Notamacropus eugenii: one gene and its partner. The protein of the gene in region 2 purifies or fractionates together with the protein of the main gene of each other region. This does not show direct contact. Links are inferred from orthologs where the notes say so. Each region holds a gene or a part of one and is shown on either strand. Other genes may lie near its edges. The genes, in order: ENDOD1 and TMEM43.

Region 1 (15,376 bases), on a different chromosome or scaffold from region 2:
ACCTGAAGGATTTACTTTGGACAAAACCCCACTTAGCTTTCTAGTTTTACCCAGGACACAACACAATGGATTGGAATGTCATTGCTCACCATGTTTGTATAATGGAATCATTCCCTTTTCAGCAATTGGCTTCTTGATTGTTCAGTAGAGAGAGATAGGGCAAATAGAGCTCACATTTTCCATCAACTAACTCATGCCTTCATTCCCTAACTATCTACCATGTACCTCTTCTGTTCAAGGCTCTGTGCCGGGTATTCTAAGAGATCATGGGATCAGTCTGAATCCCTCATTTTGCAAATGAGGAAACTACACACTGATGGCAGTTCAACGACATGCCTAAGATGCTATCAGAGCATCTTTGTAATGGCTGGCTGGTCAATGAGGAAGTCATTTTTGGTGACATGCTCTTCAACCCTGCTGAAAAGCTTCCTTTTGTCTTCCTTCTTAACAGCTAGCTGATCTTCATATGCTACTTTATGGTTTAGGAAGCCCTTTACAGACATTATCTCATTGGATTTTCTCAACAAAATAGGGGTAAATTATAGTTTAGTAGTAATACTGTTCACTGGAGTCTCAACAAAAGCAACATTATCTTTATATTTTTAAACAGCTTATAACCATCACCTGTCTTCTTCTCCAACCCCCAGTGGCTATTACAAGTAGAAGTGGGGGAAGTTGTGGGCGTCTTCTGTCCTACTTCCAGTAGTCCAGAGACTAGAAAAAAAATTGAATCCTAGCAATGGGAAAGTGATGTCAGAATACTAGATGCTAGTTCCTTGTGTTTCAGATCCATCATGGAAGACTATCTGCATACACTTGTCTTCTCCAGCATGCTCCTAAGTCGCATATTTTACAGGGTTTTTGGTATATATATGTATATATGTATTCATATACACATATATATGTGCATACATATATACATACATACATACATATATATATTTTCTCAGTTTCCATGGTGAAAGTTATAGAGTCAAAGGTCTACAACTGGAAGATACCTCAAAGATCATCTAGTCAAACCTTCTGAATTTTTAGAGGAAGGAACTGAGACTTTAAAGGGTTAAGTGACCTTCCCAAGGCCACAGGTTGTGTCAAGAGGAATCAAGTCTTCAGTTAAGCCAAGGTTTGTATTTGCTCCATCAAATAACACTACTTTCCTCATAGCAAGTTTTCTATTTTCCTATGCCTCCAGAAGGTGCACCCTCTCCCTTTCCCCCTTCCCCCCTCCCAGATTTTCCTTTGGTTCAGTCAATGTAATTGAAAAGATCTAGCTCATTCAAAGATGTATTCCCAGGGTTCTCTCTCTGGGAACCTGAGATCCACAGCTCTGTCACTGACTCACTCAATAACCTTAGGCAAGGGCGAAGCTTCCCTTTTGTCTTTGTTCCTCCCCTGGATGATGAGGGCCTAATAATAATGCTGACCTCATAAAAGTGTGTCCTAGGTTGAAGTGATTCACAGTCATGAATTATTTTATGCCAAACAAAATGTGAACCTCAGAGCTAAGTATCTCTCTGTAATGGAGCTTGATATTAAAGTCCTACCTAAAATATCACCATCTCTAAGAAGTCTTTCCCAATCCCCCTTAATGCCAGAGGCTTCCCTCTGTGATTACATCTAGTTTATCCAGCATATATCTTGTTTGTACATGATTGTTTTTATATTGTCCCCCTTCTTTGCACCCTCAGTGCTTAGCAAAGGGCCTGGCACATAGTGGGTACTTAATAAATACTAATTGACAAATTGACCTTAGTGGGCATAAGACATAGGGAGCTGTTATGTGTTCTTCAACTCTGTTGAAAATCATATTGCTTTTGTCCTCCTTCATCATAGCTAGCTGATCTTTGTATCCTACTTTATGGTTAAAAAAGTCCTTTATGGATATTACATCATTTGATTTGCTCAACACTCTTGTGAGGCAAGAGGTTTGTGTCATCCCTTTTTCCAGGTAAGTAGACTGAGGCATAGAGCAGTTTAAGTGAATTGTAAAAGTCAGACCACTGTCCAGTGGTAAAACTCAGGTTCAAACCAAGGTCTTCTGATTTAAAACTCAGTGTTCTTCCCATACCATACTACAGTTGTTCCTCAGAACTCATAAGTGGCTTCCTATTGTGGCTAAGATAAAATGCCAACTCTGTGGCACATTTAAAGCTTTTCATAATTTGGCTCCAGCTGACCTTGCCAGACAGATTATGACACAGTCCTCCCTCTTACACACCTTCTAACCAAACTGGCCCTTCTGATGTTTTTTATACGCTGCATTCTGTTTCCTGATGTGCTTTTGCCAGTGCTGTCCCCTGATTGTTGTCCCTCCTCAGCTCTGCCTCCTACAGCAGAATTCCTAGCTTCCTTCAAAGCTGCCATCTACCATCAACTAAGCAATCAATTATTTTTTTAAAAAGTTATTAAATGTTTACTATGTTCCAGGAACTATGTTAAGCATTGAGGATACAAAATAAAAAAAAAAAAGCAAAAACTATTTCTGCCATCAAGAAGCATCCAAGGGAAAAGCAACATTGCAAAAAGCTAGGAACCTAGAAAAGATATAGAAGGCAATCATCTCAGAGAGGAAGGCAAGTGGGAAAGGTTTCCTGGAGAAAGTAGGATTTGATCTGAGATTTGAAGGAAGCCAGGGAAATTAAACAGCAAAGGTGAAGGTCGATAGGATTCTAGTCATGGGAGGACATCAATTGCAAAGGCAAAGAGATAAAAGACATTGTGTGTAAGGATGGGATCCCTTCCATAGTTAATGTTCTTCACCTCCCCTCTCCCCACAAATTATGTTTTATTTACCTTACACGTACTGTGTATTTACTTCTACGAGTATATGTAGCATCCCCCCTCCCTCCCTCCAGTAGAATATAAACTCCTAGAGGGCAGATCATGTCTTGGATTTTTTGACTTTTATATCCCCGATTCCTATCACAGTGCCTGACACATATTAAACCCTTTAACAAATGCTTCTTGACTGATGAATGAATGAAAGAATGGCTGCATTCAGAAGTCTGGCTCTTAGTTAAGTTGTCCACAGAAATGGTTCTTGGTACAGCATATATGGCTTGCAGGCAGATGCAATGCCCTTAGCCAGTGCAGGTATGAGGCACCATATAAGACATAAAGTGTTCTGACCTAATTAGATACTTGGATCAGACACAATGCTGACTGAGGCAGGGCTTGGGTATCTCTGCTCAAGTAGCCAAATTCTCATCATGCTCTACAGTACTCCAACAAGTATATCACAAAAAGTTAACTTCTAATTTCTAGAAAGCACAGAAGGAATCAAGAGCTAAGAAATTATCTAGTCCTTTAAAGTAAAGGCAACTTCAACTATCTGAAGGACTCTTCATCTCTAGCACAGTGCCTGGAACGTAGTAGCTGCTTTAAAAAACTTGTTCAGTCAGCTTCACTAAACATTTATTGGGCATCTACTATGTGCTGAGCTACAAGTTGAAGATACAAAAAAAGATAAAAGACAGTCCCTGCTTTCAAGAACCTTCCAGGCTAAAGGGGGAGACGACATGTAAATAAATCCCGACTATTAAGTGAAGGGGAATTAGACTTACGTGCTTGATCTCCAAAGGCAGAACTAGGATCAGTAACAGAAATTGAGGGGAGAAAGATTTTGGCTCAGTATATCAGCTAACCACCTAACAACTGGAGCTGTCCAAAAACAGAATGGCCTATCCCAAGCAGCAGCAAGTTCCTTCTCAATAGAGATGCTCCAGCAGAAGCTGGATGCATGTTACGTTACATGGATGCATGCAACTTGCCAGATGTTACAGAAGAGATTCATGTTTTAGGTAAATGTTGTTCTGCATGACCTCTAAGTTTCTTTCCAAATTTGAAATTTCTTTGATTCTATGAAATGCAGTCTCAGAGATACTAAGCAATTTGTCCAAGGTTACATAGCTTGGCACAGAGGCAAGGACACAAGCACGGAACCAGGACGTTAAACCAGGTCTCCCAATTCTTAGACCTTGTACTTTCCAATACCCGCCACTACCATGTACTTCCTTATTTAGCCTTTTGGAAATTCTCAGCCTGCCCTTGGAGTTCCTTTATCAACTTTTTCCCTCTCTCAACTATCTCATCAACCTTTCTTTTCATTATTCCCCACTACAGACTTCCTATTCTGACTAGACTGATCAGCTTACTATGTCCTGTATGTAATTTGCTTGTTCCTGATCTTATCCCTTGGCAGATGTTCTTCCCTTCACCTGGGACCACCTCCTTCCTTTGTCAGCCAATGCCTCTTGCACTCCATTCTTACTCAAAACTCACCTCCTCTAGAAAGTTTCTGAAGGCCCATTCCACTCTGATCACTTTTTTCCTCTCTGTGTTTATGAACACATCGTGTTTCCTGTGTATTCTTATTCCTTTATATCTTCCTAGTATGGGATGGTGGAGGAGAGGTGGCTTCTATGGTGATGTATTTATACAATGAGCACTTAAAAGATATTACAAGATAGCAGCTATATTTCAAGGCTTCCAAATAAACTCATTCTAAGAATGGAAAACCCAGATGCTTGTCTTGGTATTCATCTGGGTGGGGCTGGAGGGGGTACAGGCTATGGAGATCAGGAACAGGTTGGGCTAGGGTGTGTTTATTACATCAGAAGGCTTGGGAAGGATTTGGCATCAAGGTGGACAAGGGTAAGAAGGTTGGGCAAGTGGAGAGTGATGGGAAACCCTGTCTCTAGGTGAGGAGTTATTGGCTTCTGCAAGAGGGAGAGACAGTGTTTGTATGTATGTGTGTATGCATGTACATGTCAATACCACAATGCCTTAGAAGTAGTATACCAGGTTGGGGAGAAGGTATGGGACAGAAGGCTAAGTGTGGAGGGCCATTTCAATTCCTCTGGTTGGCTGACATAGCCCACTGCAGGGGGTGACTTGACAGATGAAGGCTTGATTTCTGAATCCTTGGGGTTGATACTGAAGAAATGAAGAATTGGGGACAATTATTTTGTCCTTCTTACCAAGCCAATAGGTAGAGACATTCCCTAGGCCTTTGTTATTCCTTTTTTTAAAAATCCAAAAGTTTCTTAAATTTTTTTCTCAATTTGACAATTCCTGATATTTTCCCAAATGTAGAATGGGAGATAAAAATACAATGAATAACAGGAAACACTCCTCCAAATTCCAAAATTTCTTCATTGTGAAGAAATTAATACCTCATAACGTCTCTAAGTTGAAATCATTGTGCATGTTTTTGTTTTTAAGCCTTGTGACCAAATGATCTTCCTCTTCTTTTTTTTGTAAATAGTATTTTATTTTTTCCAATTACAAATACAATCATACTTTTATCCCTTTTCCATAGTGGAGCAGAGAAAGCACTGAACCTGAGTTCAAAACCTGGCTCTATGAGATGCATGATCTGGGACAAGTTCATTAACCTTTTTGAGCCTCAGTGTCCTTGTAAAACAGGGAAAACATAATAACACTCGTATGACCTATTTCACAGGAAAACAGCTTGTAAACTGTAAAGCAAAGTATGCATGTAAGGTAGTATCACATGGGACCTATACTAGTCGAGTACCTTATAATGTTGTATGTGCATCATCATCCATATAGATAAATTTCTGTGTAGAGCAGTGGATCTTAACCTTTTTATATGTGTGTCATGGACCCTTTTGGCAGTTTGGTGAAGCTTATGGACTCTTCAGAGAAAAGTTTTAAAATTAAAAAATAAGCATAATTAAATATGTAGGATTACAAAGGAAGTCAATTATTTTGAAATACAGTTATCAGAAAAAATTAAAAGTGAGATCAAGAAGAATCTCTCAGGGAACCAAATGGTTCCTCTCTGCATTTCTGAATGTTGCAGGGACTTGGATGAAATGTTATAAAGTTTATGAGCTGAAATTCCAATTTTCTTAAGCAGAGTAAAAAGGCTTAGGGGTGAAGGGGGAGAATTTGAATTCAGGTAGGAGGAAGGCAATTTCTGGCACAGCGTTTCACCGGGCAGTGCCCATCACCCCTCATGTTATTTAGGCCCCCTCCCTCCTTATTCTGAAGCAGAAGGAATTGCCGGTCTTCTCTTGTTTGGGTCCCACTGCAGAATATCTACAAAGCTGTTTGACTCACCTGGGGTTCGATCATCCAACCCTGCTCCCTACTCTCTCCAGAGACAGCATATCGAAAAGCCGAGTAAACAGGTATCTTTTCTTGGGTGCTGTACAGGGTAGCAAAGCGCTCCTTGCCGTTGTATTTTTGACAGATTTTCACGTGGAAAGGCTCAGCCAATCCTTTAGGCGGGGTCTCTTCATAAAAGAACTTGTTACATTCAGCAAAACCGGCTTCATCCTCCCGGATAATTCTGCCCTGTATGAGCCAGGAGAAAACAAAGAGGCTGCAGAGGAGAAGGAGAGATGCTGGTCTCATGTTGGACTTCCTGAAATTCACTGTGCCCTCCTTCAGCTCTGTGGGCTGGGGGCTCTCTCTGAGAGGTCTGAGACTGGAAAGCAGCAGAGGAGCCCTGCAAGTGGATTGGAATCTGGGAATGGTTTACAAGGGAAATGAAATTCGAAACCCAGCCCTTCCCTTCTGGGAGTGGACTCTTTCTACAGGCAGGGCACTGCCAAACTGCATGGAAGCTGTAGGGTGTCATGGGCTGCAGAGACAAATCAGCAACTGGAGGCTGTACCTTTGGGTTCCCCCTCAGGAGATGGCTTTAAGGACTTGGACTGCAGCTATCCGAGTGTGTAGAGAAGGAAAGGCTTCAAGGAAGGTTGAGTCCTAGGAGATAAGGGGCGTGTGTGTGTGACGTTGATCCCAATGCTCAGGATATAAATGTCTGAATTTAGAAAATTCAGAGTATGAGGATACAAGCCTAGGTTCTGGTGCATGGCACATCTTTCCTGAGAAAGTGCTGTCCAGAGCTAACACGGATCTAAAATGTAGCGTTAACTATAGACTGCACGGTAAATGCATATGTAAAATAGTTACATAGTTGTTCTTCAGTGGAAAATTTCAGAGAAAAAAATGAAATGCAAGGAACAAGACTGATTTTTATGTGATACATAGAATTTATCTCATTATTTTACAATTAACCCACGTATGTACACCTACACCCACACCCACCCCCCCCAGACCCCCCCCTCCCCCACACACACACAACCAGGTACCTGAAACTGCCTGGAGAATGGAAGAACAATTAGCAATTTCCTAACTCTCATACTTCTATCTAAAAGATAACCATTAGTTAATTTACACTTATTTTTCTTCCTCATAAGTGTCAGTACATGAAAATCATAGACAAGGGTAAAGGTCATAGGCGTTAGTCCTCTAGTCAAAATATAAATAAATCCCCTCAAGAATAGTTTAAAGAAGTGGTGCCCTAACTTGTTTGAAAATTTGGCTTAGAAAACTCGCTCCTTTCTGAGTAACACATTCCTTTTTGAGACTGCTCTAACTACTTGGGAGTTTCTCATTTACTAAACCACAGCTTCCATCCGTTGGTCACAGTATTGAATAAATTTTGTGTTCTTTCTGTGAAATGCAAGCAATAAAATTCAAGCATACTCATGGAAATTCAAACGCAATATAATTCATCCTGGTGTTTCTCAAAAGCTGTATGGTACTCATCCTTGTAACCACATGCATTTACAAGAGTCTCTCCAATCATTCTTAGCAAGCTACAAATCCTCCCAGCAAAGAATTAGTGCCACGAGCAAGAAGTTTGAGAAAGATTTGAGTTATTCTGATAGTCTTAATGAGGTGAAAAGGTTTAGACTTAAACCAATTATTATTTGAATGCTTTGGGTACAATAAGCCATATTCAAAGCTTAACCTTCTTTCCTCTGGCGTGGTTTTTGATTTCCCACCTTTATGACAATCCATATACCTCCTCTACTTTGAAGACTCTGCTGGAAATTTGCCTCCTGTACAAAAGTCATACATATGGCTCCATATGTATGTCTCCATATTATGTTCATAGCTAAATCGTGGTAATTTAAAAACAAACAAACAACTTTTCAAAGATAAATTGTTTTAATGCCACATCACTACTCCGATTTTTTCCATTATGGATATATATGTGTGTGTGTGTGTGTGTATGTATATGTATATATATATACATATGTTCATATGTATATATAAATCAGGTGGCTAGCATATGTATATACTGGGGAATGGAAATGAAATAAGCAATAGTAACAAAACCAGATTTAATAATGACAATGCTGAATAAGGGCTAATTTATTAAGCTTTTATTCATTTTGCTATTCCTGAAATATCTTACTTGGCTTAATTTGTAGAATACTGGTGAACAAATTAGCATTTGTAAAAAATATTTAGGCAACAGATTTAAAGCATTTGAGATAATTAAGGGAGCTGAGAAGGTGGAAATTATACCATAACACAGGCTTTATTTTTCCAGGAAAGACCAAGCCCAAGAAAACCAGACTTAACCGACTGGTGGAAAGGAGGAAATGGTGTGCTGAGGTAAGAGGATTAAGTTCCTGCCAGACCTTGAGCCCTTAAAAAAAAAAATGAGTCATACTCAACTGAAATGTGGGAAGAGATATCTTTTTTTCCAGACAAACTGAACCAGAGGTCGTGGTGATGTTTAAAACTAGTCTCAGAGAATTAATTTTAGATGAGATATCTGGCAGGAAGACATTCTCTCTCTCTCTCTCTCTCTCTCTCTCTCTCTCTCTCTCTCTCTCTCTCTCTCTCTCTCTCTCTCTCTTTCTCTCTCTCTTCTTCCTTTCCTCTCCCCCCTCTCTTCCTTTTACTCCTCTTCCTCTTCTTTTGTCCTCTCCCTCTATTTAACCTGCATTCTAAGAATATATCAGATCTGAGAAACTTTCAGAAGCTATAACACATAGACAGTATTCATAATTCATTACTGAATTATATCTCCAAAATGTCTTATAAACTTGAGCAAATCATTTCACCTCTCTGAGCCTCAGTTTCCTCATTTAGAAAAATGAAGGAATTGCACTGTGACCTCTAAGTTCTCTTTCAGCTCTAACATTCTAAGCTTCTATGAAAAGAATCTAAAAGTCTTCATTAGTTCTTTGGTAAAATCTTGGAAGCCAGAGGCTAACTACAAACAAGAATAATTTTGACCAATTCAAATATCAAAAAATATTCTTCCCACCCCTTTATCTATAACCTCCTCTAGCGCAGGCATACACCTAATCTATCCAAACAGATGTCAACTTTTCTTCATTCCACTACCAAAACATACTGTCATTTCTACCTCTTCCCCCAACCACTGTAACTGGCCTAGTTCAAACCAATACTATCTTCTATTATTTCAATAAGCTTCCAATGGACCTTCTGTCTACTAGTTTCTCCCATCTCCAATCCATCTAGCACATTTGCTGCATATTTTTAGTACAAAACTCTCAGATCACATCACCTCCTCTCCTCAAAAACTTTCATTGACTCCCCATTGTCTATAAATAAAATACCAGCTCTACAGTCTAACATTCTAGGTCAGTCTCATTCTGGCTCCAAGTTACCTTTTCAGCTACTCTCCTTTATGTATATTATATTAGAGCAAAACAAACTAATGATACACCCCCATTCTCATCCTGTCCTTCCCTGTCCCCTCCCTTGTCTTTCCTCTTGTTATCCCTTTGAAAGTGGCAGAATAGATAAAAACTGGATTTGGAGTCAGGAAGATCTGAATTCAAATCTTCCTTCAGGCATTTGCTTAACTGGGTGACTCTCTTAGCCTCAGGTTCCACATTTATAAGATGAAGTGGTTGGATCTGTTGCTTTTTAAGGTCCTTTCCAGCTCTAAATCTCTGATTCTATGAATGCCCTCCCTGCTAATCACCATCTTTTTAAATTCTTTCCTTTCTTTTGAGGTTCAACTCTGGTATCATCTTCCTCATGAAGTCATCTCTTCTAATCTGGAAGTGACCTGACACTTCTTAAATTTTTGATAGCACTTTGTATGGAAATTAGGTTGACTTTTTAAAGTCTTATCTATAAAGTACGTATTTATGTACATGTCTTATCTTTATTACTAGATTATAAATTCCTTGAGAATGGGATTGTGTCTGATTTCATTTTTGTGTAAACAGCACCCAGGAAAATATATCTTAAGAAAATATGTATTAATGTTTAACTGAATACCCTTTTCTAAATATATTATTCTTCATATTGTCTGTTTTCCAAGAATTCCCCAATAGCCGCCAATGGGTCTATGGTGTTTTGCAGGTACAAAGGACTTTATTTATATACTGTCTGGTTTAAGCCTCACAACAACTGAGTTATTATCCCTCTCTTGATAGATAAGGAAACCCAGTATCAGGGATGTATATTGACTCACCCCAGGTCAAACAGCTAATATGTGACAGGTGGAACTGACTCAAAGTCCTGTGCTATTTCCAGTATAATATAATTCCCTTTATATCAGCCATTTTATCTTCTTATTCATGGATGAAGCAGTTTATTTCATGGGTGTGAATGGTATTGAAAACTGACCTACATGACATGATTGGGTGCTCTCTGGGCTTCACTCCCATTTCCACAGTCCAGGGACCTTCAAAGATGGCATCTTTCAGGGTATGCTGACAGCAGGGTTGGGAATAGCTGCAGGCAGTATAACTGCAGTGATCTTCCCACCCATCTCTGATGCTTCCCACACTTATGACTTTGGGAAAGTCATTTAATCTCCATGGGCCTCAGTTTCCTTCACTGCAAAAGTACAGTAGATGGAATATAACCTGACAGAGAAAGACATTAGTAGCTGGGAGACATGGAAAGGCCTTCTTCAGAAGATGGTGTTTGAGCGAAGTCTTGAAATGAAGCCAAGGATTCTAAGAGATGGTGAGATGATGGTGTTTCAGGCATGGAGTATAGCAAGTGAGAAGCCTTGGAGTCCAGAAATGGAAAGTCTTGTGAGGAATAGTGAGTAAGAGTACAGTTGGATCATGGTATATGTGAAGGGGAATAAAGTGTGAGATGGCCAGAAAGATAAGAAGGAGACAGGTTGTGAAGAGCTTTAAATGACAAAGGATTTTATATTTAATACTGGAAGTAATGGGGAGACACTGATGTTTATTGAGTAGGAGGTGATATGGTCAGGCTTTCACTTTAAAGAAATAATTTTGGCAGTGGTGTGGAGGATGGTTTGGCATGGACAAAGACTTGAGGCAGGGAAACCAGTTAGAAGACCTTTATAATAGTCTGATCAGGTCAGTGTCCTTTCATGAAGCTTGAGAGGGTAGTTCAAGGATACTTTCTTAAACCCAATTTCTTGTGTAAAGGAAAAGGAGATAAGAGAATGCAAATGCCCCAAGCAATGATCCCAGAATCAAGACTTCTAGCCAGAGAAGGAAGATATTCTGGGAAGCAATACCTCAAGGCATTGAGAGATTTCCCATGGAAACTCATGCCAGAAGAAAATATGTGCAATTAAAATATGTGGATTCCCAGATTTGAGAATATCAAGTTTGGAAGCTTCTAAAAGAGAGAGAAGATTTCTTTATCTAACACTGTTCTAGGGAAAAGAGGATAGTTCCTATGCAGTGTCTTTCATGGAGAGCAAAGCTGGTGTAGGTTCAATGAGAGAGGTATTGTTTATTCAGCAACCTCCAAGGTATGTTTATCTTCTGAGGTCAAGATTAAAACATAGAGTAGTGCAACAAGTTTTGGGGGTAAAGTATCTGTAGGAAAGGGACTCACTGATGTGTCAAAGCTTTGCTCTGATAATAATCCCAAGTTCAGCTACCTTATGAGAGGAGCTAATGGGCTATTTGACTGTTTTATGTGGTTCTGTTTGCTAGCTCTTGAAAACTCTCTTGCTGGCTTCTACTTAGGGCTTCAGCTTGATTCTGAAACTTCTCCAGAAGCTTAGCATTGTTTAGGAATTCTTCCTCTGGGTTCAAAAAATTTAGTTCAGGAGTTCTTCTGCCTGTCTAGGAAATTCTCTATCACACACATCATCACTACAATTTCACTGCTACCAGCTCACATTCCTGCAGCCTCCTTCATGGACTGGTGTCTCCTTCTGCTCCACTATTGTCTCTACTCACTGCCATGGAGCTCCACCTTCTTCTGGAGTCTTGTGGTTTGATGAGGTATGTGGTCCTCTGAAAACTCATGAAACTGGGCTTTAATCCAAGAAATTGAAGTATGTCTATCTAGTTCAGCCATAGTCCAATTCTCCAGCTATGTTTGGTGGCCAGCCATCTTTTAAAAGACCAAGTCCAAGGCTAGCTCAAGCCAACCTTCATACACTTATGGCTCAATCTTTTCAAAGAATATGTGCTTTAAAGAACTAGTGAGTGAGTACTCAGGATAAGGTGAGTTAACAGGTCATCAAGGAAATATCATCAATGCCAAACAAAGGAGTAATCAAGTTAACCTTGTTTAAAAGGAATTAACATTGTCAAGGGAATCTCTCTACATGCCTGTGCAACTATTTCGGTAAATAAAGCTGAAATTCCATAAGCCGAATAATTCAGGATTGACAAAGTATGAAGCTCTTTTTCAGCCTTCTTTTGCTCCGTTAAAAGAGTTTCCTAATGTGTTTTGTTTTCACATTACAACTATTTACAGATTATTCCCATTTTATGAGGTCTCTTGAAACAAAATAAAACAGTTAAGTAAGATTAAAAATTAAGTGATCTTATCTGAAAGTGAAGGCAACATTTCACATAGCATCTCTCTGCCCTTCATATTTTTAAAATGAACAGAATTCTGTTTTCTCTTTTTCATCTTCCGCCCCATTGGAAAGAAAGAAAAGGAAAAACAAATTTTTCTTAACAAACATGCAAAGCTAATAGTCAAATAAAACTAATTCCCTCAATGGCTGTATGTGAAAATGTATTTGTTTCATTCCTCCCCCTAAATCCATGACCTTTGTCACAGATAGCCTGTTTCATCACTGGTCTTGTGGAATCCTGAATGGTCATTGCATTGATTACACCTCATTTGTTTGTTTTTATGATGTTGCTGTTATGCTATAAATTGTTCTCTTAGTTCTGCTTATTTTATTTTTCATCAGTCAATAAAATAGTTCATTTTTATAATATTGATGTTATAGTGTAATTTTTTCTTCCTGTTTTGCTCACTTCACTCTGTATCAGTTAATACAAGACTTTCCATGACTTTTTAAAATCATCTCTTTCCTCGTTCCTTACAGGAGATTACAATGTGCCACAATCTGTTCAGTCTTTCCCAATTGATGGGCATCTCCTTAGTCTCCATCACAAAAAGAGCTGCTACAAATATTTTTTGCACATAAGGACAAAAAAAGATCTTTGTTTTTACCAGATGCCTACAGATAACAACAGCATAAAGTTATTTTTCCTATATGTGCAGAATTAAAAATGGAAAATGGACTTCCTTCAGTAATCATTTCATCATGTTGTTTAAGGGCTTAAATCCATTACTATAAAAATTTGGCACTGGGAAGGAAACAAACAAGCTTTTAATAAGCACCCACTTTGTGCCAGGCACTGTGCTAAGTACTTTAAAAATATTATCCTCACAACAACTCTCAGAGGTAGGTACTATCATTATTATTCCACTCTACACTTGAGAAAACTGAAGCCAACAGAGGTTAAGTGACTTATCTCACAGTAGTATAGAAAGCTGGATTTGACCTCAGATCTTCCAGACTCCAGGTCCAATGTTCTAACCACTGAACCACCATCGCTACCTAATGTTTTTTATTGTATTCATCCTTTCTTGCCAAAGAAGACCATGCCATCAGAGAAATGATGACATGACTTGCACTTGACTTTGTTTTGAGTGAGGGAGGGCTATGCAGGTCACCAGCCTCACTTCTCCTCCAGAGCCATCTGAATCCAATGACCTGATATTCACTGGAAACCACACGACCAAAAATCCATTACATAAACATGTGTGTGAACAATGTTAGACAAATATAAGTTGCATTCCCACCTCTCACCAAAAAAAGAATTTGTTGCTCAGTTGTTCTTCTTCAGTCATATCCAACTCTTTGGGACCCCACTTGGGGATTTCTTTGAAAAGATGCTGGAGTGGTTTGCCATTTCCTTCTCCAGCTTATTTTACAGATAAAGAAACTGAGGCCAACAGGGTTAAGTGACTTTCCTGGGGTCATACTTGCTTAGTGTCTGAGGTCACATTTGGACACATTTGAAGGTCAGGTCTTCTTAATTCTAGGTTCAGAGCTCTAGCTACTGTACCACTTAGCTCTCCATTTCCCCCCGTACACCCCCCACCCAAATTAGTTTGTATAAAATCTCTTGTAGACTGTCTTATGACATTGTATTAAAGTTTTTCATCCTGCATGCCCCCCTCAACAACAGTCCCCAACAAAATAATGTGATATGACAAGAACAGGCTGGAAGATGACTGAGTAATATAATATCTGATTGATTCTTAGATTTGTGGGATAAAAGGCTTATAGTTCTTCTACTAAAAAAATGACAATGCTAGTATTAGAAGAATCTAGATGACTCCTGATCTCTGAAGTTAGAAAAATGACTGAATCATGAAAATTAGTTACTTCAGGTGGAAAGACCACACAGGTTCAAATCCTTACTGTGATTGCAAAAAAGTCCTTTGAAGCAATACTCATTAGGTTTCATCATAAGGATACATAAAGATGAAAAAATTCAGAAGCTTTGAGAGGACTGTCAGAGACAAGTTCTCTCTCCCCTCCTGTTCTCCCCCCCCCCTTCCCTGTCTCCTCCCCTTCCCCTCTCTTCCTCTCTCTCTCTTCCCCCTTTTCCCTTCCTGCCCTTTCTCTTTCCCCTCTGCCCACCTCTTTCTCCTCCCTGTGGTGAGTAAAATTGTAGCATAGGCAAGCTGAGATACAGTTTTCTCCAGGGCAAGATAACAATTTTTTAACAGTGACAGGTAAACTCTTAGTAATATAGCTCACACTGGCCCATCTCAACCAAAAAAAACAAGTATCTAAGTATGATCAATTTATAAATTAGGTTAGCATTAACCAATACATTATGTCAATAGCCTTTCTCAATGACCAAAGACCCTGAGTAAGAGTCAATAGGGTCCTTTAAATTTAGGTGTGTCTCCCTTCTGGTTGACTTGACAGTACATCATATGGACTGCCACTGGCAAAGATAAGACAATCTCACTTGGTAGACATTTTAATAAGGAGGTGAGTTAAGAGTTACCTCAGCTCCTCTCTACTACTTCCTCTTGGGAAAGGAGTAATTTTTAGGTGATAAGATTAATCAGATAGATAGATAGATAGATAGATAGATAGATAGATAGATAGATAGATAGATAGATAGATAGACAGATAGATAGACAGACAGACAGACAGACAGACAGACAGACAGACAGACAGACAGATAGATAGATAGATAGATAGATAGATAGATAGACAGATAAAGATGACATTTAGTTGTTTCAGTCATGTCTGACTGTTCATGACCCTATTTGGGGTTTT
Region 2 (15,187 bases):
GGTTCTCGGGCAACCATGGTCTCAGGAAAAAACCAGATGGATGACCCAGGGCATGTTCTTTCTCTTCTCTGGGCCTTAGTTTCAAATCCACATTTGAAAATGGCCAAGGTGGGTACCACATCACACCTGTTAGATTGGCTAACATGACAAAACAGGAAAAGGATACATGTTGGAGAAGATGTGGGAGAGTTGGCACAGTAATTCTTTGTTGGTGGAGCTGTGAGCTGATCCAACCATTCTGGAGAGCAATTTGGAACTATGCTCAAAGGGTTATAAAGCTGAGCATACCCTTTGACCCAGCAATACCACTTCTGGGGCTATATCCCAAAGACATCATCAAAATGGGAAAAGGACATGTACAAAAATATTTATAACGGTTCTTTTTGTGGTGGTCAAGAACTGGAAATCGAGGGAATGCCCATCAATTGGGGAATGGCGGAACAAGTTGTGGTATATGAATGTAATGGAGTACTATTGTGCGATAAGAAATGATGAACAGGCAGACTTCAGAAAAACCTGGGAAGATTTATATGAACTGATGCTGAGTGAAGTGAGCAGAACCAGGAGAACATTACACACAGTAACAGCCACAGTATGTGAGAACTGTTTTTGGCAGACTTAACCCTTCACAGCAATGCAAGGACCTAAAATATTTCCAAAGGACTCATGATGCGAAATGCCATCCACATCGAGAGAAAGAACTATGGAGTCATTTTTTTTCATGGTTTCTCCTATTTGTTTTTATTCTTCTATGCAACAGGACTACTGCGAAAATGCGGTTAATAAGAAAGTATGTGTAGAACCCGTATAAGATTGCATGCTGTTTTGGGGAGGGAAGGGGAGAAAATCTGGAACTTAAGGAAGTGATGGTTGAAAACTGAAAACAAATAAATTATAAATTTGGAAAAAAAAAGAAAATGGCCAAGGTGAGTCTGGAAATCCCCAAGCCTCTTTTGCAGTCCCTATCTCTGGGTCCTCTTTGGAGACCCTCCTCAGCTCCACAGGTCCCCCTGCTACCCTAATCCTGTGCCTGGGAGCTGTCAGCTGAGTGTGCCCCCCCACCCCTACCCCCTCCCCTCCCACCAGAGTCCCACCCTTAACAAGCAGCCTGGCAAGGAAAATCCTGTTCCAGACGCTTGAGAAAAGCAGAAAAATTGTGTGAAAGAATTAAACCAGAGAACACCCTACATCATCTCTCATATGCAAATAATCCCAAAGATGGATTGTCCACCACATCATGCAGCCCATACCAGCGATTTCCTCACCTTGTTCCAAAGGGACAAAATTCATTGCATACAATTCTTTTACAAGTCAAAGCTATAATAATCTGTACAAGAAAAGGCAGCTAAGCCACACCTGACAGTTTATTTCAAGCACTGTCCATTACAACAACCCTCCTACATGAAAAGGACAGGGATGGTCCCTCTGAATTTGCTCTAACAGGACTCTGACCTCGTCCTTCAACACCACGCTTCAGACTCAGACATGGGGATTCTGCTTCCACCTCCCCAAAGCCAACCTCATGCTCCAGTTTGCTTCCTCAGCAAAAAAGGAGCAAGCAGAGGCCCTCAGGGCCTATCCTTTCCTGCCCACTGGATGCCTCCGGGTTCTCCTCCCACCTCCTTGGCCATGCACAAAGAAGGAAAGAAAGCTGAAAACAATTCACGGTTTAATGCGACTGGCCTACTAATAAACTGATGTGGTTTCTTTGGGAACTGCTTCCTAGAGTCAATGTTAAATTTCCTGAGGACTGGTCAGAAGAGTCTCTACAACATTTAGCGGAAATGTACTTTTTGGATGATGACAGAGTTCTCTGGCTTTTAAATCAATAACTGAAGATTTCAAAGTTGTTCAGCTGAGTTAAGAAGCAAAAGTGCACTCTTCATCTCTTCATCTTCACTTTGACTACCCACCACAGCTCGTGCCTCAATAGAGCCACACCTCCTGCTTCACCAGTGTGGGTGCTCCCTCCTCCATCAAAGACCAAACTGCTTCCCCAACTGTGCAGATAGGCGTGAGAGCTGCCATCCCCGCAACGCCCACCTGAGGACATTGTGCTCTTGTGACCCTAACTGGGTCAGGACCGCAGGCTAGCCCAGGCCTGTCTGGAAAGCCAGGTTTTAGGCTGGATAACCTTGTGAGGGTCTAGTCCAGAGCAGGGCATGTTTACCTGGCTTCTGTGAACTTGTTTTAAAATACATTCCTTTAAGTATATTTCAACACAATTGCTGTCCTTTGTAAACCAATACATTTCATTATGTGTATTTAAAAGCATTATTCTGAGGAGAGGTCCCCCTAGACTTCACCAGACCATCACATCCAAAGCTTAAGAATTGCCAGTCTAGAGCAGGGCAAACAGAAGGGGGAATGGAGAGCTCATCCAAGGTGGAAGGGGCTGCCTCGGTGGGATCCTCCCCATTTCAGGTCTTGAAGCAAAGGCTTTTCCACAGGCTGGATGAGATGGTCTGCCTGACCTCCAAGGTCCTGTGAAGCCTTCTTGCCCCAGCAGGCCTTGTCGCAGCTTGTGCTCCACTGGCCAGGCCTTCAAGCCAGCAGGGTCACCTCCATGCTAGGCCCTGTTATGCTATGAGGGAATTCTTAACTGCCAACAACCTGTTCCTACAGCATTTTAGCTTTTCCCATAGCCACATTAAGTAAAAGAGCTGATGAAACAGATGGTAATAGGACTGACCAGCAGCTGGTCTGACCACTCTAGATATTTCAGAAAACAGAACCCAGCAAAAGTGGAGAGGTTTTAGGGGTCTCAGATTACCGAACATGGAGAAAGGGTGACCCTCCTGAACCTGACCTGTCCCTCCCTGCCAGGGCCCTGACCCGCTCCTGAAATGCAGGGGAGAAACTTGCTCATGGGCTCTTATTTACAGGGGATGGGGGGAGGAAGGGAGAAGAAATCTTCTTCAACTTAGAAATGAAGTGCTACTGACCATGCTCTTCATAGGGATCGTTGGGGTCATCGGCTACCAGCTCAGCACTGCTTGGTGTCTCATGGTCTTCTTTCGTCACAAATATAATCCGGTCCTTTCCTGATATTTGGAAGAAAGACCAAAAAAAGTCCCAGCTAAGTATTAACTTTAACAACATACCTGTAATATATAGTAATAATATAATACAGGGGTCAGGCAGCAGTCATCAAACACTGCTGCAGACTGGGCCAGAATCCACCTTTCCAGTCATTTTCACCCACCTCTTTTCTAAGCTAAACCAAGCCAGTCTAATCTCTTCTACAACCCTTGGGCTATCTGACAACAGTGATTACTCTCTCTTCAGCTTTAACATCCTCAGTTCCTTCAACTGTTCCTATGATGATATTTCAACGTCCTTTTCTTAAAACAGGGCTCCCAGAACTGAACATAATACTCTAGATGGGGAGGGGGATGGAGGAGGGCACCAGCATTTCTATAGCGCCTTCTATGTGTCTGCTCTGTGCTAAAGCTTTAGAATGATATCTTATTACATCCTCTCAACAACTTTAGGAGGTAGGTGCTGTTAGTATCCTCATTTTAAAGACAAAGAAACTGAGGAAAGCAGGAATGAAACGACTTGCCCAGTCACAGAGCTAGTAAGTGTCTGAGGCCACATCTGAACTCAGGTCTCACCAGGGCAGATGACAGCAGAACTGGTCTCTTCTCTTGAACTGGCTGCTAGACTTTATCAAAGCAGCTTGAGAACGTGCCAGCTCTTTTAGCCCCCTTTAAATGTCTCCTGGACTTTTACACCAAGAGCCTTGACCTAAGGGGCAGTGGCAGGATTAATTTGATTTTAGCCAGTCAGGGCTGAAACACGTCTGTGAGGTTCTTTTGTGCCCTGACACAACAAATTCACAAAGACCCGCCAGGCCAAAGCTGGGTCCTGCCAGACTAGCCTTCTCTCCCTCTTCTCTTTGCCCCTTCATTTTGAAGATACAGAAACTGTGGCGTTCAGAGAGGAGAGACTAATTTAGGCTGAGAACTAGAGTCTTCCTACTTGCCCAGGATTAAAGTGAGGCTCTTAAAGGGGGCTCAAAGGTGGAGATAGCGCTCTATCCCACCCCCAGATCCCTGCTGGACCAGAGGCTATCTGGTCTGCTTGAAAGACCCCAGGGAAGTGGCACCATTGAACAGGACATCCTAATCCTTTACTGGACAGCTCTAACGGTTCAATCTTGCCCCTAGCTAGCAAGTTCAGACCTGCCTTCTCATAACAGCACTGATTTATTTTTAATTTCGGCTCTCTGAAGCATCTTTACTATGCCTGCTCCTTTCTTCCACAGCTTTAGATATGTGAATACAGGTGATACTCAAACACTTGTCTTAACAGAAATCACTCACCAGAGGATGGGGCACATACCCAAAGGGGTCTGATGGGCATCTACCTAGTACAGTGTGTTAGAAAAATACCTGGATCAGGCACCAGAGGGTGGCTCAGCCACCACAGACCTGGGACAAATCCCTTTCCCCTCTGGGTCTGCTTCATTTTTCATGAAGTAAGGGTCATGTCAGGGCCTGCCTCATGGGTTAATGCAGGAGAACAACTGAAACAAAGCTGGCTTTACAAGAGCTTTACGAACCATGGGAGAAATTCTTCTCACCAGGACTGAGGGGCAGGCACTAGAACAGAAAGAGGACAAAGGCTCTGGAACAAAGGCCAGGTGAGGGAGTATTCAAAGTTGCGTCCAGGTTCAGTGCACTTAATCTTATGAAAGAGATCTGCTTCTGTGTATAGGTTCAAAGGTCTGCCCGCCTCCTGCCCAAATATAAAACAAGAGCTTTTTCAGAGGGACATAGCTCTTCTATACCCATCTCAAGGAGCCTGATTCTTCAAGAAGCTAGTAGTTAGAAGTCAATAAAAACTAGTTTAGGGGTAGCTAGGTGGCACAGTGGATAGAGCACCAGGCGAAGAGTTAGGAAGACTCATCTTCCTAAATTCAAATCTGGCCTCAGACACTAACTAGCTGGGTGACCCTGGGCAAGTCACTTAACCCCAATTGCCTCAGTTTCCTCATCTGTAAAATGAACTGAAGAAGGAAATGGCAAACCACTTCAGTATGTTTGCCAAGAAAACCCCCAATAGAGAGAACTGTGACATCAGGAAGAGGACACCACCTCTTGCAAGTGAAGTGGATTACAATGAGGGAGGGCTGTACAAAGTCACCAGCCTCCCTTTCTCTGCTGGAGCCATCTGGATCCAGTGGCCAGACAGATATCAGGACTTCTAGGCTTAACAGGTAAAGGTTTAGAGAAAAGGCAGTCCCAGAGCAGGAAGCCCCCTCCCCTCTTTCCATCCAGCCAAGGAATCCTTTTCCTTTGGCAGGTCTCACACAGCCCTTTGTCCCCAACTGTCTGCTCCTTCCTGCCACCTGAGACGGGGTGAGAAAATGTAGGTAAAACAGCATGTAACTGGAAAGAACCAGGTCAATGTGGGTGGAGTGTTACCCCCTACTGGTAGTAGCATTGTTGGGGAAGCCAGAAGTGTGCTGCTCTCCAGGAGTTGAAAGTCCAGTCCCTCCCTCTACAGCCTAGAGACAGACACCTAACAGAGGGGCCTAGTGACAAAAGGGATGTGATTCAGAGAAAAAGGACCCAGTGATCCAGGCCAGAGGGGCTACTACTGAGGGCACTGTGAATGTTCTTCAGTTACCCATCTGGGGAAGAAAGGCTGAGTTTTAAAAATGGAAAGGCGCTACGGAAAATTCAGGCAGGTCAGACTGCAAAGGAAGAAGGCAGTTCCTGCCACATGTGGCAGGATCTCACCTGGTACCCTAGCAGTAAGGCATGCTCCCTTTTGGGTCTGAATCGGGAATTTCACAAGTGCAGAGAGCTCCTGGTGAAGAAAACACTGGTGCTGAGACTCCCATCCTGGTTTTAGCCAGGTTACGTGACTTGCCTGGGGTCTTGGCACCAGTAGGCCTGTGGAGGGGGTGGGCCCCCTGCAGGCCAGCTACACTACAAATAACAAAAGCATTCTTAGACTATCAGCAGTACAACCACCCATCCAGCCCCCATCTCCACAATCTGCCTTGGAGTTATCTCTCCTACAGTTCCTCCTCCTGAACTTTAGGTCAGACTAGATCACAAGAAGTCCCTCAGTCTTGTCCTTTCTCCCTCCCCTCCCCCATCCCTTCAGGTTCCCCATTTTCAAGACCAATTTGGGTGCTACTTTTCCCATGAAATTTTCCCTGATTTCCATTTTACCACACTTTGAATTTGTAAGCTTAACACAATGCCAAAAGCTAAGGAAAATGATACAAAATGCATGTATAAAATGTTTGAGAAAATCAGAGACCCAAAGGTTGGGCCAAGACTAAATGAAGAGGATTCAGGCACAGGGCAGTGTTGGCTGAAAGATAAACGTCCCTCCACCCAGGCCTCAGGAGGGTCAGAGAATCTGCATTGGAAAGGACCTCGAGAAGCCCCAGAGTCCAAGGGTGGGGAACAGTGGCCCTCCAGGTGCTCAAGTGTGGTCCTTTGTCTGAATCCCAGCTTTGCACTGGCCACGCTGGAGGTCCTAGATGAGGCGGGGGACACCAGACTCCCCACTTCTAATCCAGTCCAACCCATACCTAATATTCTTTAGCCCTCCACTGAGCTACCATCTTGTTGGTGCCTCTCTCACTTCACCTTTTGGGGGAGGCTGTCACAACTTTGGAATGAGACCGTAGTTACTGGTGTGTTTGTTCCTCATGGCACCCCTTTCCTCCCAACCCCAAAGGCCAGTGCTGAGCACCAGCTTTGTGAGAGGGTCAGCATCTCTCCACATTCATCCCACAAGCGTCATCTAACGACAAAATGTACCTGTTGGAGCTGGGGCCCACTCATTCATTCAACAGGCATCTGTGATATGAATTAGTGACCAAACTGCACAGGGAACAAGAAAATGAGCTGCAGAGTGGAAGTCCCTGCCCCAGCGCCGAGGTAAGGAGCGCTCAGAGTTCAAGGTGGGCTCTGGCAGAGGCGCAGCCGTCCCGGTCCCGGCCCCGGCCCCGGTCCCGGTCCCAGCCCTAGCCCCGGCCCTGCCCCCGCCCCGGCCCCCGCCCCGGCCCCACACCGGCGCAGGATCCGGGCTGATTAGGCCAGGGCGAGTCAGGAGGACGCGCCCCAGACCTCCTCGGACCCTGCCTCCACCCGCAGGTTCGGTGAGAGAGGGCGATGCTGCTAATGGGGAATCCTTGGGGGCTGCGCCCCGTCCGGGTCTGGGTGAGGGTGGTCTCCATGCTGACCTTGGGAACTCTGCCATGTGTTCCTCCGCCGGGGAAGGTCATTGGCCACCTGGGCACCCCACCCCGCGCCTTTCCAGGCTTGGGATGAAGGCGGCTAACCTGACTTACGCCGGGAAGGGGCTTTGGGAAGCAGAAGGTCCAACCTCGTTCTACAGAATCTGCAGGGGAAACGACTGGTGCAAGGTCACCCGGGGAGCTAACGGTGTCTGGGCTGGAAACCCCGGGGCCTCCTGCGAGGTGTCTGGGTTACCTCGAGGGGGGGGACCGCCGGGAAGCCCCGGTTTCCAGAAGGCCCTGGGCTGCTTAACTTCCGGACTCCCCGGGGGGGTGGGCGCCGGGGGTCCCCGCGGGGCCGGCGCGCCGCCGGGCAGCGTCTCGGGCTGAGCACGCGGGCCGCCCTCCAACAGCCCGGGCCCCAACGTTCGATCGGCCGCGCGCGCGCGCGCCCGCCCGCGGAGGGGGCCGCGTGTCCCCCGCAGGCCCTCGTCCTGGCCCCGCGCCCGCGCCCTCCCCCCTCTTCCCCGCCTCCTCTCGGCCCGGCCGTTCGCACCTTCCTCCCGGCAGTAGGACATGGCTGAGGCCGGGCGGCTCCCGTGACTCCGGCTCCGACCCGCTCTCCACGCTAGTCGCTCCGGCCTCGCGGTGGCCACCAGGCGCCGTGATCTCTCTACGGGCTCCGCCCCCTTTCCCAGGGCCTGCCCTGCGGCGCCCCAGCCCAGCCTCTCCCTCCGTCCGTCCCGCCGGCCAGCCAGGCGCCCAGCGGCCTACGCCTCCCGAGCTCCTCTAGCCCTAGGAAACTACATGTCCCAGACGGACGTAGGCCGGGCCAGGCGGAAGGGCAGGGCGGAGGCTCCCGCAAGCCCCCGCCCTCAACATAGAAAACTACGTTTCCCAGGAAACCTTGCGGCGCGCAGGCGCAGTAGAGCCGTTCGGTTATCGTGGGTGGTAACTTTGTAGCAGCGAGCCCAGCCTTGTTCCCCCGAGTTCGTGCTTTCGCGGATCTGGAGAGAGGGCTGAGTTTTCCCGGCTCTCGGGGCTCCCGCTGCTTCTCCGGCCAATTGCAGCTCCGCCCTCCGACCTCCGGCATCTTTGCCCTGCGTTGGAGATTGAGGCAGCACCAGGTCGAGGCTGACCATGTCCCGGAATGTAAGTGTGTGCCTGCCGCCCCACCCAGCCCGGATCCCTCCTGGCTGGGCTCTCCGAAGCTGGCCCGGGATGTCCGCGGCTGCAGTCCGGGGGGCCTCGGGAGCCGCATCTTGCCGTCTGCGTGCCTGCTTTACCCGTCTGCATGCCCCATTCCTTGTTGCCCCTCGGGTGGCGGGGCTACCGCGGATTCTTTTTGGGCGACTTGAACGGCAAGTTGGGCACCGATCTCAACTTTCGTTCTGGGACTGGGTGGGGTGGGCCCCTCCCTCCTGTGCCACTTTGTCTTATAAAGGTGGGAGGGAGCATCTAGCTGCTGTAATGACTCACTGTGGCTTCAGAGCCGTTTAAATCTGGAAGAGATTTTAGAAATTATTTTATTTTTAAAATTTAAATGAATTTAATTTTTAAAAAAAAATTAAATTTTTTTTCAACGAACAAGTCTGTTTTTCTCCCTCCTTTCCCCTCTTTTTTTTTTACTGAAAAAAAATTTTCATTGGTTCCCTACATCCTACTGAATTGTTTTTTTAAAAAATTTATTAATGTTTTCAACTTTTTTTTGTTTATTTCTTTTTTAATAATTAATTTATTTGTTTTCAGTTGTCAACAATCACTTCCATAAGTTTTAAATTTTCTCCCCCTTCTTCCTCATGATGGCATCCGATCTTATATGGGTTCTGTATGTATATTCTTATTAAACACATTTTCACTTTAGTCATATTGCATAGAAGAGTTAAAACGAATGGGAGACACCATGAGAAAAACAGAACATAACAAAGGAGAAAATAGTACTTCATTCTACCTTCTCACTCCGTAGCTCTTTTCTCTGGGTATGGATGGCATTTTGCATCATGAGTCCTTTGGAAATGTTTTAGGTCCTTGCATTGCTGTGAAGGGCTAAGTCTGTCAAAAACAGCCCTTGGACACTGTATATAATGTTCTGGTTCTGCTCATTTCACTCAGCATCAGTTCATATAAGTCTTTCCAGGTTTTTCTGAAGTCCTCCTGCTCATCATTTCTTATAGCACAATAGTATTCCATTACATTCATATACCACAATTTGTTCAGCCATTCCTCTCGATTTCCAGTTCGATTTCCAGTTTGTGGCCATCACAAAAAGAGCTGCTGTAAATATTTTTGTACATGTGGGATGATCTCTTTGGGATATAGCCCCAGATGTAGTATTGCTGAGTCAAAGTGTATGCACATTTTTATAGCCCTTTGGGTGTAGTTCCAAATTGCTCTCCAGAATGGTTGGATCAACTCACAACTCCACCAACAATGAATTATCGTTCCAGCTCACCTACACCTTCTCCAACATGTATCATTTTCCTGTTTTATCATATTAGCCAATCTGATAGGTGTGATGTAGTACCTCAGAATTGTTTTGGTTTACATCTCTCTAATCAATAGTGATTTAGAGCATTTTTTCATATGACTAGATAGCTTTAATTTCTTCCCCTGAAAACTGCCTGTTCATATCCTTTGACCATTTATCCTGTCATATCTACCTTTTCCAGAATTCTGTTCACCTCTTTAACTTCCTTCTTGTTTATTTTGAGGTTAGATTTATCAAGTCCAGAGAGGGGGAGGTTGAGGTCATCCACTAGTATAGCTTTGCTCTCTGTTTCTTCCTGTGACTTCTGTAGCTTCTTCTCTAAGAATCTGGATGCTATACCACTTAGTGCATATGTGTTTAGTAACGATATTACTTCATTGTCTGTGGTGCCTTTTAGCAGGACATAGTTTCCTTCCTTATCTCTTTTGATTAGATATATTTTTGCTTTTACTTTGTCTGAGATTAGGATTGCTACCTCTGCTCTTTTTACTTCAGCTGAAGCATAATATATTCTACTCCAGCCTTTTATCTTTACCCTCTGTGTATCCCCTTGTTTCAAATGTGTTCCTTGTAAAAAATATATTGTAGGATTATGGTTTTTAATCCTTTCTGCTATCCACCTCCATTTTATGGGAGAGTTTATGCCATTCACATTCACCGTTATGATTACTATCTGTGTTTTCCTCTCTATCCTATTCCCCCCCTACTGTTTTTGCTTTTATTTCTCCCTTCTCTTTCTCAAAATAGTTTACTTTTGTCCTCTGCCTCCCTCATTCTTCCCTCTCTTCTGTCGTCCCCTCTCCCTTTTCTTTCCCTTTTCCCTTACCACTTCTTCCTTCCCTTCAAACCACCCATTCCTTTTCTTTCCCCTTTTCCCCTCCTACTGCCTGTAGGGCAAGTTAGATTTCTATACTTAACTTAGTATGTTATTCCCTCCTTGAACCAAATCCAATGAGAGTAATGCTCAAACAATGCTCATCCCCCTCCTTTCTTTCCCTTTACTATACTATATTTTTGTGCCTCTTCATGTGATGTAATTTACCCTTTTCTGCCTCCTCCTTTCCTATTCTCCCTTGGCACCCCTTCATTAGGTTTTTTTTATCATCACATTAGCTAATTTATACTCACATGCTGTATCTATCTATATCCCTTTTAAATGTTGTAATAAATATACAGTTCTCAAGATTAACAAGTATCATCTTCCCATAGAGGGATGTATACAGTTTGCCTATATTGAATAAAAAGGTTTTTTTTCTTTTTTTTTCCGTTTGCCTTGCCTTTCTTGAATCTTATATTTGAAGATTAAATTTTCTGTTCAACTCAGGCTCATCAGAAAGGCCTGGAAATCCCTTATTTCATTGAATGTCCATCTCCTTGCCTGAAAGATTATGCTCAGCTTTGCTGGGTAAATTGATCCTTGGTTGTAGTCCAAGCACCTTTGCCTTACAGAATTTCATATTGAAATCCCTCTGATCTTTTAATGTAGAAGCTGCAAGGTCCTGTGTGATCCTGACTGTAGTTTCTCAATATTTGAATTGCTTCTTTCTGGCTGCTTGCAGTATTTTCTCCTTGACCTGATAATTCTGGAATTTGGCAATAATATTTTTGAATTTGGGATCTCTTTCCGTAGGTGATTGATGAATTCTTTCAATGACTATTTTGCCCTCTGGATCTAGGACCTCAGGGCAGTTTTTCTTGATGATTTCTTGGAATATACTGTCAAGGTTTTTTGTTTTTTGTTTTTTAATCATGGCTTTCTGTTAGACCAATAATTCTTAGATTTTTCTCTCCTGGATCTGTTTTCCAGGTCAGTTGTTTTCCAATGAGATATTTTACGTTTTTTTCTATTTTTTCATTCTTTAGATTTTGTTTGACTGATTCTTGATGCCTCATAGAGTCATTAGTTTCTACTTGCCCAGTTCTGATTTCTAATGAATTGTTCTCTTTGGTTAGCTTTTGTATCACCTTTTCCATTTGTCCAATTTTTCCTTTTAAGGAGTTATTTTCTCCTGTTAGGTTTTGTATTTCCTTATCCATTTGGCCAATTTTACTTTTTAAGGAGATGATTGTATTTTTAAAGTGGTTGGTTAATTTTTCTTCTGCATCTCTAATTTGGCTTTTAAAGTCTTTCTTGAGCTCTTCCGAGAATGCTCTTTGGGCTAGAGATCAGTTCATATTCCCTTTTGAGGTTTCAGATATGGGTATAATATCAATGCAGTCCTCTTCTGGATTCATATTTTGATCTTCTCTATCCCCGTAATAAAATTCAATAGCGTTTGCTTTTTCTAATGAACTTCTTGCTCATGGTGATTGCCTTTTTACTGGCTTTCAAAATGGATCTCTGCTTCTGGAACACAGAGGGCTCTGTCCCATGTTTCTTGCGCTGGGAGTTATGGATGTAGTTACTGGCTTTGTGTGCTGTGACCTCTGGTTCTGTCAACTAGAAGCTATATAATGTTGCAGCTTATCTGGTGCTGAGCTGGCTGGTGTGTGCCAAGGTGAAGTCTATCTGAGTTCCCCTAGGTTACACTGAAGCTCATGGCATGAGGTGAGGTCTGACCACTGGAGGTGTCCTCCTTCCCTAGGGCTATGCTAAAGCATGGGCAGGCTTGGTGGCTGGTGAACCCTGTCTGTGCTGGTATCTGCCAAATTTCCCTGGCTGGCTAAGGCATGCCTAGGGTCCTGGTATTGGTGCTTACTGACTCCACTCCACTGTGACTCAGGATTTCGTACTGGTCCACTGAGGTGAGACTTGCTGGGACACTTCCAGTCCTACACTGGCCCTCTTCAGCCGCAGCAAGAGGGATCCTTCCCGTTGATCTCCATAGCCTCCCGAACTAAAAGACTGCTGTTCCCCTTCTGCTGGCTCCACTATTCCAGGATTTTTCCTGGGGCAATATTCTCTGGGTTTTTCAAGGTCAACAAGGGGAGGGTGAGAGCACTTACAGTTTACTCTGTCATCTTGGCTCCCAGAAGCCTCTTTTCCCCTCTTGCAACAAATAGTTGGCCATGTCCAGAAAGTATCTCCATCTGCCCCCTAAGTCCATCACCTCTCTGTTGGTAGATGGGTATGCTTCATCATGGATTCTCTGGAATCAAGGTTGCTCATTTTTTGAGAAGCTAGGGTCTCATTTGTTGGAAACTATCAGTTAGGAAATCACAGGTTAGAATTCCAGCTCAGATAGACTAACTTCATGACCATGGATAGGTAAGTCAGTTAACAATTCTAAGTTTCTGTTTCCCAATCTCAAAATGGTAATAACTCAGTAAATATTAAGTGTCTACTGTGTGCAAAGCTTGTCTTACCTGTAGTGGAAAGAACGCTGGGCTTTGAGTTAGGAAGACCTGGGTTCAAATTCTGTTTCTGGCTCTTTCTGCAGTTAGGTGGTACAGTGAATAAAGCCTAGGACCTGGAGTCTGGAAGACTTGAGTTCAAATCCAGCCCCAGATGCTTACCACTATGACTCTGGGCAAGTCATTTAATGTCTTTCTGCCTCCATTCCTCATCTAAAAAATGGGGGTAATAATAGCACCTACCTCACAAGAGTTGTGAGAATCAAATGAGATAACTTTCGTAAAATGCTTAGCACAGTGTTTCACACATGTAAACACTGTATAAATGCTCCTTTCTTCCTTCCTTCCTTCCTTGCATCAAGATCCTGGACCAGTCACTTAACAGCTTTATGCCTCAGTTTCCCCCCCTGCAAAATGAGATGGAGAGGGAGTAGACTTTTTGGCTTCCAATCTCTAATTCTATGCTCTTAGCAGTGATTCTGTGTTAGTAAAACAGAAAGTGACTAACTATCTCATTGGACTGTTTTTAGAAAAATATGATTTATAAAATTAAAGAAATAAGAGTTTGTAGGTGAGGATTGAAGCCATGTTTTCTGAATCCAGTTCTAGGGTTCTTTTCACTGCTCCATTGACCTGGTGCTTACTGGGTACAAAGCCCTGAGCCTTCCATGCTGTGGAAACCATAGTGTTAGTAGTCAGTCATGTTCATGGAGGGCTTTATAACTTACAGACCACCTTCCTCGCAAGTATTTTGTGAAGTTGGTAGTGCAAGTATTGTGAGGCAGTGTGCATGACCTGAGGGCCAGTTGGGGTCTTGGACTTGACATCAGGAAGATCTGAGTCCAATCTCACCTCTGATACTAGCTCTGTATTCATGGACAAGTCACTTAACTTGTCTAAGACTCAATTTGCTCACCTGGAAAATGGGGTCTTGGTGTGGCTCCAAAGAAATAATGTATGAAAACTGTAAGTCCTGCATTGGTGTCAGTTATCATATAGCTATAGAAACAGACTCAAGAGAGATGGATTGCTCAGATTGAGTAAGGCATCATCATGGCCCTTATTATCATAGGGATGATAAAATTGGCATGTAATGCCAGGGGATGGAAAAAGTGCTGGCTTTAGAGTCAAAGGTCCTGAGTTCAAATCCCAGCTCTCTTTACTACTATGTGATATTGAACACGTTTCTTCACCTTTTTGTGACTCAGTTTCCTCCTCTGTAAAATGAGGTTAGACTAAGTGATGGTTGAGGTCCCTTCCAGCTCTAAATCTATCATCTGTAGTCTGAGCTAGGTCCTTGGGATAGCTAAAAAGCTAATAGTGGAATCCCACTGGGAATGCTTTCCCTCAGGCGTTGTGTAGGAGATCAAAGTCCTGGGCTGCTTTCTTCTATTGTCCTGTGCTAAGACTAAGGGAATTTCTTTCTCTTGATGAGGTGATGAGAGACTTTCTCAGGTACATCCTAACCCCAGGGCCCTCACTCCTGGACTGGTGGTTCTATACTTTCATAGCATGTTACAGCCTCAGAGAGAGCTCTTTCATGTCCATTTTATTCCATGACTCTTACAGAAGCTCTATGAGGTAGGTAATGCAAACGTCTTTGTCCCTGTTTTACGGATGAAGAAACGAAGGCTCAGAGAAAAGGCTATGTGTACCTTCAAGGCCAGAGGTCCTCTCCTTGGTCTCCCTATGAGCTCAACAGTACTTTGCATGTTGAGATTATTTCTTGACTGTCTTGGGATGCAAGCACTGGCCATGATCTCTAGGGGGAGCATCCTTGCAGTTAGCACTTTATCACCTAGTGTCTAGGACCATTCGACCCACAAATGGTGCAAAAGTTCTCATATTCTTGGAAGGCCTGGAGATGAATCCTGGCTCTGATACTTTCTAATCATTTGGCAGATTGCTTCACCCCTTTAAGCCTGAGTTTGGTCACTTGTAAAATGGGGTATATGTATGTGTGTGGAGAGTGTGTTACAAAGTGTATAAGCTGTTCATTGTTGTTACTATTGTGATTGTGTACAATAAATGTTTGTTGGGTAATGTATTCTTGATACTTTATAAACTTTGCAGTTTTTATTGATCCTACAATAAACAGCCATGGGAAATATAAACTTAGGTGTTGTAATGGAAAAAATTGGATACCTTTTATTCTTATAACTATGCTAGTGATTTCTAATGGATTTTAAATTAAT

The links.
Region 1: the proteins of TMEM43 (region 2) and ENDOD1 purify together in Homo sapiens (affinity purification with mass spectrometry; 3 studies listed by BioGRID and IntAct, with this or other methods). This does not show direct contact. The link is inferred for Notamacropus eugenii from reciprocal best matches to the Homo sapiens genes TMEM43 and ENDOD1.

The regions. Positions count from the first base shown.
Region 1 is NC_092876.1:163,262,100-163,277,475, forward strand, and holds the start of ENDOD1 (endonuclease domain-containing 1 protein), read right to left. Parts: upstream 6,610-15,376; 5' UTR 6,385-6,609; coding exon 6,088-6,384; intron 1-6,087. UniProt on the Homo sapiens protein: May act as a DNase and a RNase. Plays a role in the modulation of innate immune signaling through the cGAS-STING pathway by interacting with RNF26.
Region 2 is NC_092874.1:429,414,342-429,429,528, forward strand, and holds the start of TMEM43 (transmembrane protein 43), read left to right. Parts: upstream 1-8,223; 5' UTR 8,224-8,350; coding exon 8,351-8,362; intron 8,363-15,187. Other genes in the region: CHCHD4 (mitochondrial intermembrane space import and assembly protein 40), read right to left, coding at 2,946-3,044, 7,767-7,788. UniProt on the Homo sapiens protein: May have an important role in maintaining nuclear envelope structure by organizing protein complexes at the inner nuclear membrane. Required for retaining emerin at the inner nuclear membrane.